Linked DNA regions of Drosophila melanogaster. The protein of the gene in region 2 binds, or shares a complex with, the protein of the main gene of each other region. Each region holds a gene or a part of one and is shown on either strand. Other genes may lie near its edges.

Region 1 (3,621 bases), 5.4 Mb from region 2:
GAGCATAGGCAACATGAAGCGCCACTACAAGAGCGTCCACGAAAAAGTCAAGGACTTTGAGTGCCGTTTCTGCTCCCGTCGCTTTGCCAACTCGCAATCCGTGAAGCAACACGAGTGGATACACACTGGCGAAAAGCCCTTCGAGTGTAAGACGTGTGGCAATCGCTTTCGCCAGGTAGCGGCGCTCATCCGACACCAAAAAGTCCATGACGAAAAGCCGGCGAAGCCTCTGGGGGAGAGAAATGACCGTAAACAAAAGGTTGAGGCACTACGGCAGGAAATTGCGAAGGTCGCCAAGAAGGAGCTCAAGGATTTGAAGAACCAACTGGCACTGGAGAAGCAGCAAGACACATACGAAAAGTAATAGGCAGCGGCAGCTAGCCAAACTGGTCCTGACCTTAAGGAGGAACCCTAATCGCAGAATAGTTTACGATTACATAGGGCAAAAGACTTCCCATAATAGTGGGAATTTTTATTGTTGGTTAATATTTAACTATTACTTGTTATCCTATTTCTAAGTTGTTAAATAAACTTGACCCAAATGACACACTTTAGAATAACTACAAATGGTTTTGGACTAAAACTAGTTTTAAAAAAAATTGGTCATAAATCGAAACAAACGATTCTAGTTTTTCAATTTTTTTTTATTTTTACTTTCACTTGCTTGTTATTTTGATGAGAGAGTGTCTTAATGTCGTCAAATGATTGCAAACAGTCGGAACCGGGCGCAAATGTCTGCGTTCCGCGATATCCGGCCGTTTATATGATAGATGGAGTGATGGATGGATGATAATGATTAGATTCAAATGATACAAAATGCGATCAAAAAAATCTACAAGTAGATAGCAAAAATTTGGTATACACATAAGCAGAGCAAGAAGTTCCCTAAACAATGGAAAATGGTCGATGGAAGTGGGGGCGTCATCTGGTGGGGCCCAATGTCTGGCTATGCCCCATCACCGCCTGCCGCACCAAGTGTGGGTTCTAAGGAGCTTCAGGCGTCTTCAGATTGTACTTGGCCTTAATGTTGTTCAGTTCCTCCTGTTTCTTGTCCATGTCCACGCGCTTGAAGGCCTTGTTGGATTGGTAGTAGAGCACCACCAGATAGCGATTGCACACATTAAAACCCGATAAATGGTCACAGGCGTTCTTGGCATCGAAAATGTCCTCGTAGACGACAAAGGCGGTGCCACGCGTTTCCGGAGTGTTGCCTCTGCAAAAGATACACAAATTGATTGAGAGGATTCACGGCGAATAGCATTATCATCTTCAATCTTACACGCGTATCTGTCGAATGGCTCCAAATTTGCCGAATATGTCGTACATCTCGTCCGAGGTGATTTTGTACGGCAGGTTCCGCACGTACAATAGCCGATTCACCTCTGGCGGCAGGCGGATCTGCAAAAGAAATAGCACTTTTCACTCAATACATTTGCTTTGTGTGTGGAGCCGTAGGTTTTCTGCTCACATGGTTGCGCTTGTTCATGTCCGGTCGCTTCGGATGTTAAGCGGCGACAAGGCGAGAAACTTTCACTCGGCCTCGAGGAAAGTGTGTGGCGGCTTTGTCTGACCCGGGATGAATGTCCTGAAGCGTGGTCCTTTGTTTAAAATTAATGACTCCTCTGTCTGGCCTCAAACCCAAACAAAATTGAACAGGGTGGCGAATGTGGGCACTCTAAATGGCGAGAGTGTGGACGCATTTCGAGAGCCGTATCGAGTGTGACCGTGCAGCAGCACTTAGATACATATGTGAGAGGAAGTTCGTTACATCGGAGCAGCTTTGGACTGCAAAATTTGATTTAATATTCATTTTTTTTCATTTTGGCAATAAAATAATTTGTTGTTCGGAAATTATATATCAGAGTGATTCAAACATTTTAAGCTGCTTAAAAATATTAAATTAAGCACAATAAATTAAAAAATCAACTACATTAAATATAATTTTAAAACCCGTGACGACACGTTGCCATCTCTAATAAAAAATAGCATACTCCCTCTCTCTTGCACGGTCACACTGTATACATCTCGCTAATTGTGCAAAGAAAAGGTGAAAAAAGAGACAATTTACGCAAAATCTTAAGAAAATTCCAACTAAAATAGTTTTAAAGCACAGCCAACACCCAAAGGTAAGTAGGGGGTATGCGGACAACGCAGAACTTATCTCGGAAAAGCGTTTTCAACCGCACGCCCGATGTCACGAAATATGGCGGAGGCAGGCGAGTTCTATTCGTGTGTTTTTTTTTGTCTGGGGTTGTGGGCAGAAAATCGCACGTTACTCTCGGGGCAGGGCTTTCAACTCCCGCCTTCCGCCGTAAAACCATTAAGTGCCAAGGAAACATCGAACGGAAAACGTAAATTTCACAACAGCAGATGTCTGTTTGCGGGTGTGGGTGCAAAATGCCCTGGTGTGCGTGAGTGGCCTCGAACAGAGTGTCTCTCGTGCTCTCTCTTTCTCCCCCATTTGCTACCCTTTGCGAGGCCATTAACCCTAATTTCTAATTCCGAATTCACTAATCAAACCTAAAACCCTTGCGATCTTCCCTTGCAGCAGCAAAATGACGTGGGAACCACAGGGAGAAGGTCTGCAGCAGATCATAGCGATCCTCAAGGAGTCGCAGTCACCGGACACAGCCACTCAAATGGCCGTACAGATGGTGAGTAATAACTTCTACCAGGTACGGTTCCTCGAACTGCATGCACATATTGTGTCCTTCTCAACAGAAACTGGAGGAATTCAATCGCTACCCCGACTTCAACAACTATCTTATCTATGTGCTGACGAAACTGAAGACAGAGGACGAGCCCACGAGATCACTCAGCGGCCTAATCCTCAAGAACAACATCCGCATGCACGGCACCACTCTGCAGCCGGAGATCGTGGAGTATATCAAACACGAGTGCCTGCAGGCAGTGGGCGACGCTTCGCCCCTGATCCGTGCCACCGTGGGCATCCTGATTACCACCATCGCCAGCAATGGCGGTCTGCACAACTGGCCGCAGCTGCTTCCATCTCTCTGCGAAATGCTCGACAACCAGGACTATAATGTGTGCGAAGGCGCATTCAGTGCCCTGCAGAAAATTTGCGAGGACTCTGCCGAGATTTTGGATTCCGCAGCGCTCAACAGGCCATTAAACATAATGATTCCAAAGTTCCTGGAGTACTTCAAGCACAGCAGTCCAAAGATCCGCTCCCACGCCATTGCCTGCATCAACCAGTTCATCATCAACAGATCACAGGCTCTGATGCTAAACATAGACAGCTTCATTGAGAACCTCTTTCACCTGTCATCAGATGAGGACCACGAGGTGCGCAAAAACGTGTGCCACGGATTGGTCATGCTGCTGGAGGTGCGAATGGACCGTCTGATGCCGCACATGTCGCAGATTATTGAGGTATAACTTTAAAATAAAATATATAATTAATAATAATTATTCTGATAAATTTTTGTTTAAATATCTTATTTAACGAATTTTAGTACATGCTGTTGCGCACCCAGGACACCGATGAGGGTGTGGCCCTGGAAGCATCCGAGTTCTGGCTTTCACTGGCCGAGCAAAGCATCTGCAAGGACGTGCTTGCCCCTTATCTTGCTCAATTAGCGCCAGTTCTTGTACGAGGCA
Region 2 (8,237 bases):
AAGCATCAATTTACTAATCGATCCAGTAATTATCATAAATAAGTATTGAAATTTTTAATTTTAAAAACATTCTCAGTTACTAATTTACAATCAAATCATTTCATTAGTCTAACATATGTAAAATAACATCATTGTTTAACTCAACGAAAATGTGGCTTAATCGTTACAATTTCTTACCTTTAAAACGTTTTAGGTGCAGCGTTTGTTGGTTTTGCCCACGAAAACTGCAATAGAAAGAGAAATACAAAATTAATAACATTTCTTTGCTTTTCAATCAATAAACGCTTGAATTTGTTATCAGAAAAACATAACTTTACACTAATCAAGGCATTTCATAGGTGTCCCAAGGTAAAACTCGAAAATCATCATTGAAAACAACTATAAATAGAAACCAACTTACCTAGTTAAAAAAGAAAAGTTTCCATGATATTGAAGTGTTCCTTTGCTGGCATCTGCAAAATATAAACAATTGTTAGCTTTCTGTTCAATAATCATAAAAGACTAAATTCAGCAAAGTATTTATCAGATATTGACGTTTACGCTAATCAAGGCATTTCATAGGTGTCCCAAGGTAAAATAGCTATGTCATCACAAAAACCTATGTCCCATAGGCATATCGATTCCAACTCACCTTAGAAGGCGTATCGCGTGCGAATATCCTCCAGTTTCTTGCAGATCTGATTGGGAGTGCGGAACATGTCGCCAGCTATGCTCTTCTGCTTGGCTGCCTCAATGGACAGATACTGCTCGCAGAGATCGCCGTCGAGTACGTTTTTGACCGGATAATACGAGCTCCTGTAGCTGAGATGGTCGCGTCCACAGAGTGGAGGATTCTCATTGCGCATGTGCATCTCCAGATGTTGGAAGAAGTCGTAGTCCTCGCGACTGGTGAACGGAACAAATGCTCCAACAGTGCCACTTAGCGTGGCGTATATAAGGGCTTCCGATCCTCCAGGAATTAGCGTTGCCTTCTGCAGCGACATGATTATCTCGCCCACATGGAAGGAGCAAATGTTCTCCGACTTCTGTGAAGCACCTGACAGCAGGCCACGATCCCACAGAGACTTGGTGCCCGTTGGATCCTCGTCCACATCGTCCGTTACGGAGTGGGGCAATCGCTGAATGCTCAGGTTGCCAAACTTATCGGCTATGGCTATGGTATCATAGTCCAGCAAGGTGGTGGCCGTCACCCATCGAGGATGCGTGTCATCGGCAAATATAATCAGCTGGTTCTCCGCGCGACGATAGCGTATGAAAAATACTGATTCCTGAACATCCGACACGTAAACACGATGACCCATGGCTTGGATATTGACAATCTGATAGGGAATGTGCTTGTTCTCGCATTTGCGCAGCATTTTCTTCTTGCCGAAATCGTAGATTCGCAACATTCGACCGCAGCCAGCTAGTAGACGACCCTGGAAGCCACACAGGGCTCCAGGAATCTCGTCAATGTCCGTGCGGTGCATGAATTCCAGACTGGAGCAAGTGGGATCTATTTTGTAGATATCTATGCAGCCGCCTTGCGAAATCCTGGGATTCAGCTGCAGATCCTTGGCGATTCCCACGGCCAGGTAGTACCGGCCATCAGCCGCTATGGAGAACTTCAGCATGGCCATCGACATAATGGCCTCGTTTTGGGTGAGCGGCACACTAAACATCGTCTGACCATGCATTGCGTCCAGGCAACGGATTTGCGAGGCCCAAAGACCCAGTCCTGCTTTGGGCGACGAAAACACGTCCTCGGGAAGGACTTCGTTGATGAAAGCATTGGCCATTTCGCGGGCCAACTCCCTTTCCTCATCGCCAGCTGCACTGCGCATCTCCTCCGCCATTTGCTCCTTTCGGGCACTCTTCGTATCCTCTGTGTAGGCGTTGTGATCGGTTTCGGCAATTAGCATGCGTCCCGTATCCGGATGGATTACAAAGGTACGTGGAGTGTACTGCAAGGGGAACGCTACTTGATTGAAGACGGCTCCCAGTTTCTCCAGGGCCAAGATCCTCAAGGTGTTGGTGGATATAGCCACGATACCTTCGCTGCACTGCTCGCTCGAGAAGCCAGAAGCATACTCAAGGGTTTCATAAGACAGAGGCGTCAAATGGAATCGATTTTGGTGGTAGTACGACAGCCAGGTTCGACTGGACATGGCCAGCACCGCTTCGGATCCCTGCATCTTGATCCGGAAGAGCTTTACGGGTCGGGAACCCAAATATCTCGTTCGGGTGTCTGCCAAATCTCCGGAAACAGGATCGAGCACAGTTCTCAGCAGGACACCGTTGCTCAAGCCAATGTTTAGGTAAATGGTTCCCTTATTGTTGCCACTGCGCTGAGCGGGAGCATCGTCATCCAAACCTCCCTGAGTCGTGCTCTCCGTGTGACCCATTTCGACCAGGCAAAGGGATTCGGCTGGCGAAGGCAGGGCCTGCATGGAGCAGGGAGTGAGACAGTTGTTGGGATCCAGCGATAAGATGCGCACTGTATTATCCGCCAGGCCGACGGCCAAGAACCAGGATCTCTGCTCGCCCTCCGGAACAGTTCCCAAGGCCATGCACATAATCTCAGCAGGCATCTCGGAACGTTCCGTGTACTCGTTCAGCTCCCCAGTCTGCAAGCATAAAATGTATTCATTAGTTGTGAAGTTAAGTAAACGAGGATAAGGCTTTTGGTTGATTTTGAAGCTCAGCACTGCAGGACACATAGTGTCTCAACATGATTGTTCTTTTCGTGTTTTTGTCATCAGAGCAAGAAGTCAACAGTTGAGTGTAATATAGTAGTAGAATTGCTTACCGGATCCATTTCGAAGTAGACCAACTCCCTGCCCGACAAGGTGATGACCACCTGGCGCTGATTCACGGCGCACTTGGTAATGGACTTCTTGCCCGGAGCCTTCCACTCGTTCACACGCTTGTCGGATCGGATATGTCGAATGCCATCGGGGTAAACCTGAACCAGCGCATCATCGCCCAGGGCGGCACAACAGAGCGTGGGCGTGGTGCCCAGGAAACCGCTGTCCGTGACTTCCTCGACGGTTTCGCCAATGCTCAAAACCAGGGTGGCATTCACGAAGGACACGATGATATAGGCATCAAACTCGTCTAAAAAATAGGGGAGCAAAACAATACTTGGAACGTGAGTACTTCAGTTTGAATCGAGCAAGCGAAAAAGATCTGCGTATCACACAAGACATTGAATAATCAGTTTATCAAGTTGTAATCAATGGATAATTCAGCTGAAACACGGTTGATAAATATCGCATCATGTTCAATGTCCGACTGGCTTAAATATAGTTAGCTTTTGTTCTGTTTTCATTGGTATAGTAGCAGTGGTAGTTGTAGTATCTGTTTGACTTATGAGCTGCAGTAAATGTTGCCTTACCTATCGCTTCACAAAAGACAATTTAAAATTACACAAACGAGAGAAATTCTCTTTAATCGCTTGTCTTTTTCGATAGTTCACACATATTGCCGTCTGTGTTTAAGCGCCTGAAATAAGAGAGAACTGGTGGTTGATAACTTGTGGGACTTGTTTGGAATCGTGCGTAAAGCTAGGTGTAATCTATATCTCGATCTGTATCAATGCACCAGTTGAGTTATTAGCCACGTTTCAGTCTTAGTCTAATCTTAGCTTAGGAATCATGATTAATGCCCGCAGACACACTCACCATCAGCTCGTTTCTTCACAGTCCAAACCGCATTGGGATTACCAGGCAGTTCGGAAACGGCCATCTCGGACACCTCGAGGCCGTGGCGCAGCACCCGCAGAGTGGAACGCGGTCCTCGTCCGCAAAGAACGTACAGTTGCGGTGTGTCCTCGTTGGCCAGATCAGCCACCTGGGAGGTGATGATCGGTGCGAAAGAGGGCAGTTCATCCACAAGCACCAGGTTCTTTAGGGCACGTGGCGCAAAGAAGAAGGTTTCACCCTCCTCCAAAGGCATGGCCGAACTGAACTCCGGCTCGTCATCGTCGTCACCCAGATGAGCGATTTGATATAGATAGCTGAGGGTTACACAAATACCTCAATTAGTACCCATTCATATTATTCTCAAATGAATGATTTGTAGATACTCACTGGTTGCCAAACTCGCTGGCCACGAACAGGAAACCCGTCTTTAGCACGCACATGGCAGTTGCCGGCGGCACTGTATCGAAGTACTTTAGCTTGATCTCGGAGACCACATCATCGTCCGTTTCCAGGGTGATCTTAAAGATGTCTCCCTGCTCGGTCTGCAGCAGGAAGAAGTACATGCTCTTGGTGCGATGTGTGGCCGAGCAGATGAAGATCATACCACGTTCGGGATCATCCAGATCGTTTCTCCTGCGCGGAATGGGACAGCGGATATCGTGCTGATCGCCGAGATTCTTGTACGTTAGGTAGTTCTCCGAGCAGATCAGCACGCCCGAAGGACCATCGTTGCCCCCAGGCACGGATACCAAGAAATTGGCGTGCTCTTCCAAGGGCTCCGAGTATTTGCGAACCACGTGGTTTAAGCCGAGATCCAACTCGTAGAAAGTCAGCGTTTGCTGAGTGCGCTGGGCGGCGTCACCTGGAACAAATAGATGCGACACTGATTAGTTACAGGACTATAGCATTGTACTATCAAAATGTTATCAATTGAGATTAGGAAGTGTGGGTCACAAATCAGTGAAGTGTGGCTAGGCAATTACAGCAACACCAATGGTTCAGTGATCACGATTTATCTGGCACTAAGTACAGTCAGTGTTCGTGGTGTGGATCCACTAAACCTGTGAATTAAAGCGCCTTCTAGGGTCTACACGCCACCTAGTTGATGCTTACCCGATGGATCCATGTCGGCCTCTTCGTAGTCGATCTCTAGGCAGGCGAACATGGGATTATCGAAGCCCACATCCACGCCGACCATGTGGTATGTCAGTGTATTCGATTTGTGGGCCTCCAGGGGCGATGAGATCGTGAGGCGAGCCTGCGTGTCCCGGTTCATGATGTAGGCCAGCTTTTGCTTCTCCACGGCGCCAATCATCACGGCTCTTCCTTTAGGATCGATGGCAAAGTATTGCCCAGGCACAATCCTGCGACATCCCGACTTTCCGAACGTCTCCTGGTGCACTTTTTCAAGAGCATTCTTGGAGGGATTGTACTCGAGGATCACGATGCGTCCCGAGTCCGAGCCCACAACTATGTAATCTGCAAAGCAAGGTAACGATATTCGAGATTAGGGTCATACATTTAACACTTTCTAATGACTATAATGATATTTTATTGACTTTGTAACTCGAAGTTTCAATTCGCCACTCCGTTGAGTTGGTTTATGGCAAATGCGACGTCAAGTCTTTCGGTTTCTCTCGCACTTAGACGCGTTCAAAGGTCTTACTGGGGTCAACTAGCCGTCTGTTGCCTCAATAGGGATTTGTGCGACTTACATAGATTATATAGGAGCAATACATTACTCCCAATTGATGGTACAAAACTAAATTACAATTGAAAGACTCACCTTTAGTGCCGCCCGTCAGTCGAAAGGCCATCAGGGCGCGAACGCATCCGAATATCTCCGTGGAGAGCAGGGTGTGCACCTTGCCGGTGTTGGAGTCCGGACGCAGTAGCTCCAGCGACTTGCCACGCGACAGGAGGACCTCCTGCTGCTTGCCGCCGGAGAAGTTGCCGTGGACCGCGTGGGTCACGCCGGTGGCCTTCTGCAGGGTCAGGTTGTACAGATACATGGTGGAGCACTACACTCTTTCACTTTTGTCCACGACTGCAAGAGAAGCAATGTTGAGGTTAGGTACAGTTGCAGACAAGGGAAAAAGTCACGTGAATGGCGGTGTATTTTTTTTTTTGTGAATTTGTACTACTTTGAAAACCATGGCCACAGTATGGAAAGTCGTGTCGCCTAACGATGCTAGTAAGCAGCATTTAATTCTTAGTTTAGCACGCTTCAAATGCGACCAAAGCACAGACATTTCTGATTTCTGGAGATACTTCGTGCGGAAAGCGCTTAAATAATAGTAGATATCAGTGCTAGCACGTGTATTTGTTTACCTTCGGCTGGTTAAATGGATGAATTAGCACATTTCACCAGCGATGCCTTTGGATTCGAATTTTCCTGATTACTCAGAACTCTTCATTTTCACATCTGCTCTGTTCGCCGACAAAAAGTAAAAGAACTATAAAAGTAAAAATGGTGGTGCATAAAATGTGGCTTGACTTATCGATAGTGCGCGGCCGTCGATTTTCCTATCGATAATAGGCCCGGTTCAGACTGATTATAAATTAAATAATTATTTTACTGGAAATTGTTGCTGCAGAAATCATAAGTTTCCTAAAAATCCTGGTCAAGATATATCGAATTTATCCTTTATTAAATATACCACATTTAAATATTCGGAAATTGCCATGGGCCAATCCCAGTTCCACATACCAAAAACTGCCTCAAAAGCTAAACATATAATATGCAATTTTCTGTGAAAAAATGGAAAATTTCAAGGATCTGTAAAAATATGTACTGGATCAATCGTTTTATCTTTCTTTAACTTAAAAAATTTTTATCATGGGCTTAAATGAAAACAAAACCACTCACCGAATTGTGGCTAAAGGGCTGGGCTCAATACTATGCTATTAAGGTATGATTAAGGAGAAAACTTTAAAGGTATTTAAAAAAAATAAATAGATCAGTCCCCAACTATTTTTTTCTGTTTATTCGATCTCTACTTGAGTATATTTTTACGCGGCGTTGGCTCATGTTATTAGACTAATTAGAAAAATCATCAATTATTACTTAGTAAACTAGGTTTGTTGACTATCGATATACCAACTTCAGATTCGCGACATCTCTAATCAGTCATGGAATTGTCAGTGTTGTAAAACCTGAAATGTCATTGCATCTTTGCTTCTTCAAAACAGCTGACAGCTAAAAACAAATATTTCGTGATTTTTGTAAATATTGCTAACGTTTTAATATGGAGGAGCAAGAGGATCGAGAAAAGCTCTACGAAGAAGCCCACAAGAAAGTAAAACTGGGCGAGGAGCTGAAGAAAGCGCTGAAAGACTTCGAAGATTTGCCTGGTGTCAGCAAAGTACAGCGAAAAATTCAGCAAGAGCTCAAATTTCTAAATAAGGTTTGTTTGCCTATTTTTCATGATAAAAACATTGAGTAAAAGCATTTTCCTTCAAGGTGATTACTACAAGGTCCGTAAAGGAACACCACATAACCAGCAGTAACTTTGTTTACTACGATTTTCTCATTAAAACTCTGCGTTTGCAACAAGGAGTAGTCGACATCAATGCCGTATTCCGCCTGGAGTCTAGGGATAGTCCCCTGAGAGTCGACATCGTGGCCAACAATGGACTCAAGTGGGTGAAGGTGATAGCCAGGAACTCGAAGTCCGTCGAGGACGCGGCCAGGGGATGTGTCAGCATCGGAGCCCGAAGTGTCATCGACCAGGCGGAGGATTATCTGGAGGCCAGCGAACTTAGTTTCTGCATGTTCCAGAGGCCGAAGGTAATGCCTAATAGTATGCTACCCTAGACAGCATTCATCATCTGATATACTGCCTTTTAGATAGTATTCTACTTCTCCAACAAAATCGAGGACTCCCTGCATGAAGAGCTAATGGAAATGGGCGTACAAACTGCTTCCCTGGACTCACCAGACACCGACTTGGATATGTACGCCACGACGTCGAACGAACTGAATCTAGATGTGACCACATTGCTGGCCTACGTTAGTGCGCTCACCAACGGATCCGCCAATTGGGTCTACAAGGAACCTCTGCTCACCGAACAGGCGGAAAGGGAAAGAGCCTCGCCGCTAAAACCGCTCCTCGAGAAAATCCTAGAGGGAAAAACCTTGGTCTGCTGCCAGTTAGCCTACGATGCCTTCCAGAGTATTTTGGATATTGTAGGCGGCGAGGGCGAACGGAAGCGAGCCGAGGAACTGATGAAACGGGTCACCGTTTATCCGGATGTGGAAACAATACCCGAAGAATTCTCCCACATACGTTTCACTGCCAACGTAAACGAGCGAAGTCTGAAAATCTTTAGTTTCGGCATGGCCAGGCAAATTTTCACTGTGACTTCGAATAAGGCCTTTGTGAGATCAGCTAAGATGCAGGTATGCATGAATGGAAAATGTGATTTTGTCCTGTCTTTAATGTCTGTGCTTTACAGGGTATCAATGTGCCTGTTTTTGTACACGCTTCAGTTGCACTTACCGAAGGTAAGCAGGCAACAGGAAGACCGCTTTAAAAACCAATAAGCGTTAAG

The links.
Region 1: Sf3b3 (region 2) and Sf3b6 share a complex: the UniProt entries of both Drosophila melanogaster proteins name them as parts of the splicing factor SF3B complex.

What each region holds. Positions count from the first base shown.
Region 1 is NT_037436.4:6,191,497-6,195,117, forward strand, and holds Sf3b6 (splicing factor 3b subunit 6), read right to left. Parts: upstream 1,684-3,621; 5' UTR 1,487-1,683; coding exon 1,469-1,486; intron 1,399-1,468; coding exon 1,280-1,398; intron 1,214-1,279; coding exon 985-1,213; 3' UTR 628-984; downstream 1-627. Other genes in the region: CG7386 (uncharacterized protein), read left to right, coding at 1-364; Tnpo (transportin), read left to right, coding at 2,556-2,654, 2,722-3,393, 3,477-3,621. UniProt on the Drosophila melanogaster protein: Involved in pre-mRNA splicing as a component of the splicing factor SF3B complex. SF3B complex is required for 'A' complex assembly formed by the stable binding of U2 snRNP to the branchpoint sequence (BPS) in pre-mRNA.
Region 2 is NT_037436.4:827,246-835,482, forward strand, and holds the start of Sf3b3 (splicing factor 3b subunit 3), read right to left. Parts: upstream 6,141-8,237; 5' UTR 6,015-6,140; intron 5,965-6,014; exon of another isoform or gene 5,817-5,964; intron 5,731-5,816; 5' UTR 5,696-5,730; coding exon 5,470-5,695; intron 5,395-5,469; exon of another isoform or gene 5,242-5,394; intron 5,163-5,241; coding exon 4,797-5,162; intron 4,764-4,796; exon of another isoform or gene 4,625-4,763; intron 4,546-4,624; coding exon 4,071-4,545; intron 3,998-4,070; coding exon 3,663-3,997; intron 3,484-3,662; coding exon of another isoform or gene 3,476-3,483; exon of another isoform or gene 3,377-3,475; intron 3,267-3,376; exon of another isoform or gene 3,192-3,266; intron 3,097-3,191; coding exon 2,789-3,096; intron 2,748-2,788; exon of another isoform or gene 2,607-2,747; coding exon 633-2,606; 3' UTR 632-632; intron 599-631; exon of another isoform or gene 519-598; intron 453-518; 3' UTR 401-452; intron 376-400; exon of another isoform or gene 292-375; intron 225-291; 3' UTR 178-224; intron 139-177; exon of another isoform or gene 67-138; intron 1-66. Other genes in the region: CG42553 (uncharacterized protein), read left to right, coding at 6,932-7,090, 7,147-7,473, 7,534-8,085, 8,142-8,219. UniProt on the Drosophila melanogaster protein: Involved in pre-mRNA splicing as a component of the splicing factor SF3B complex, a constituent of the spliceosome. SF3B complex is required for 'A' complex assembly formed by the stable binding of U2 snRNP to the branchpoint sequence (BPS) in pre-mRNA.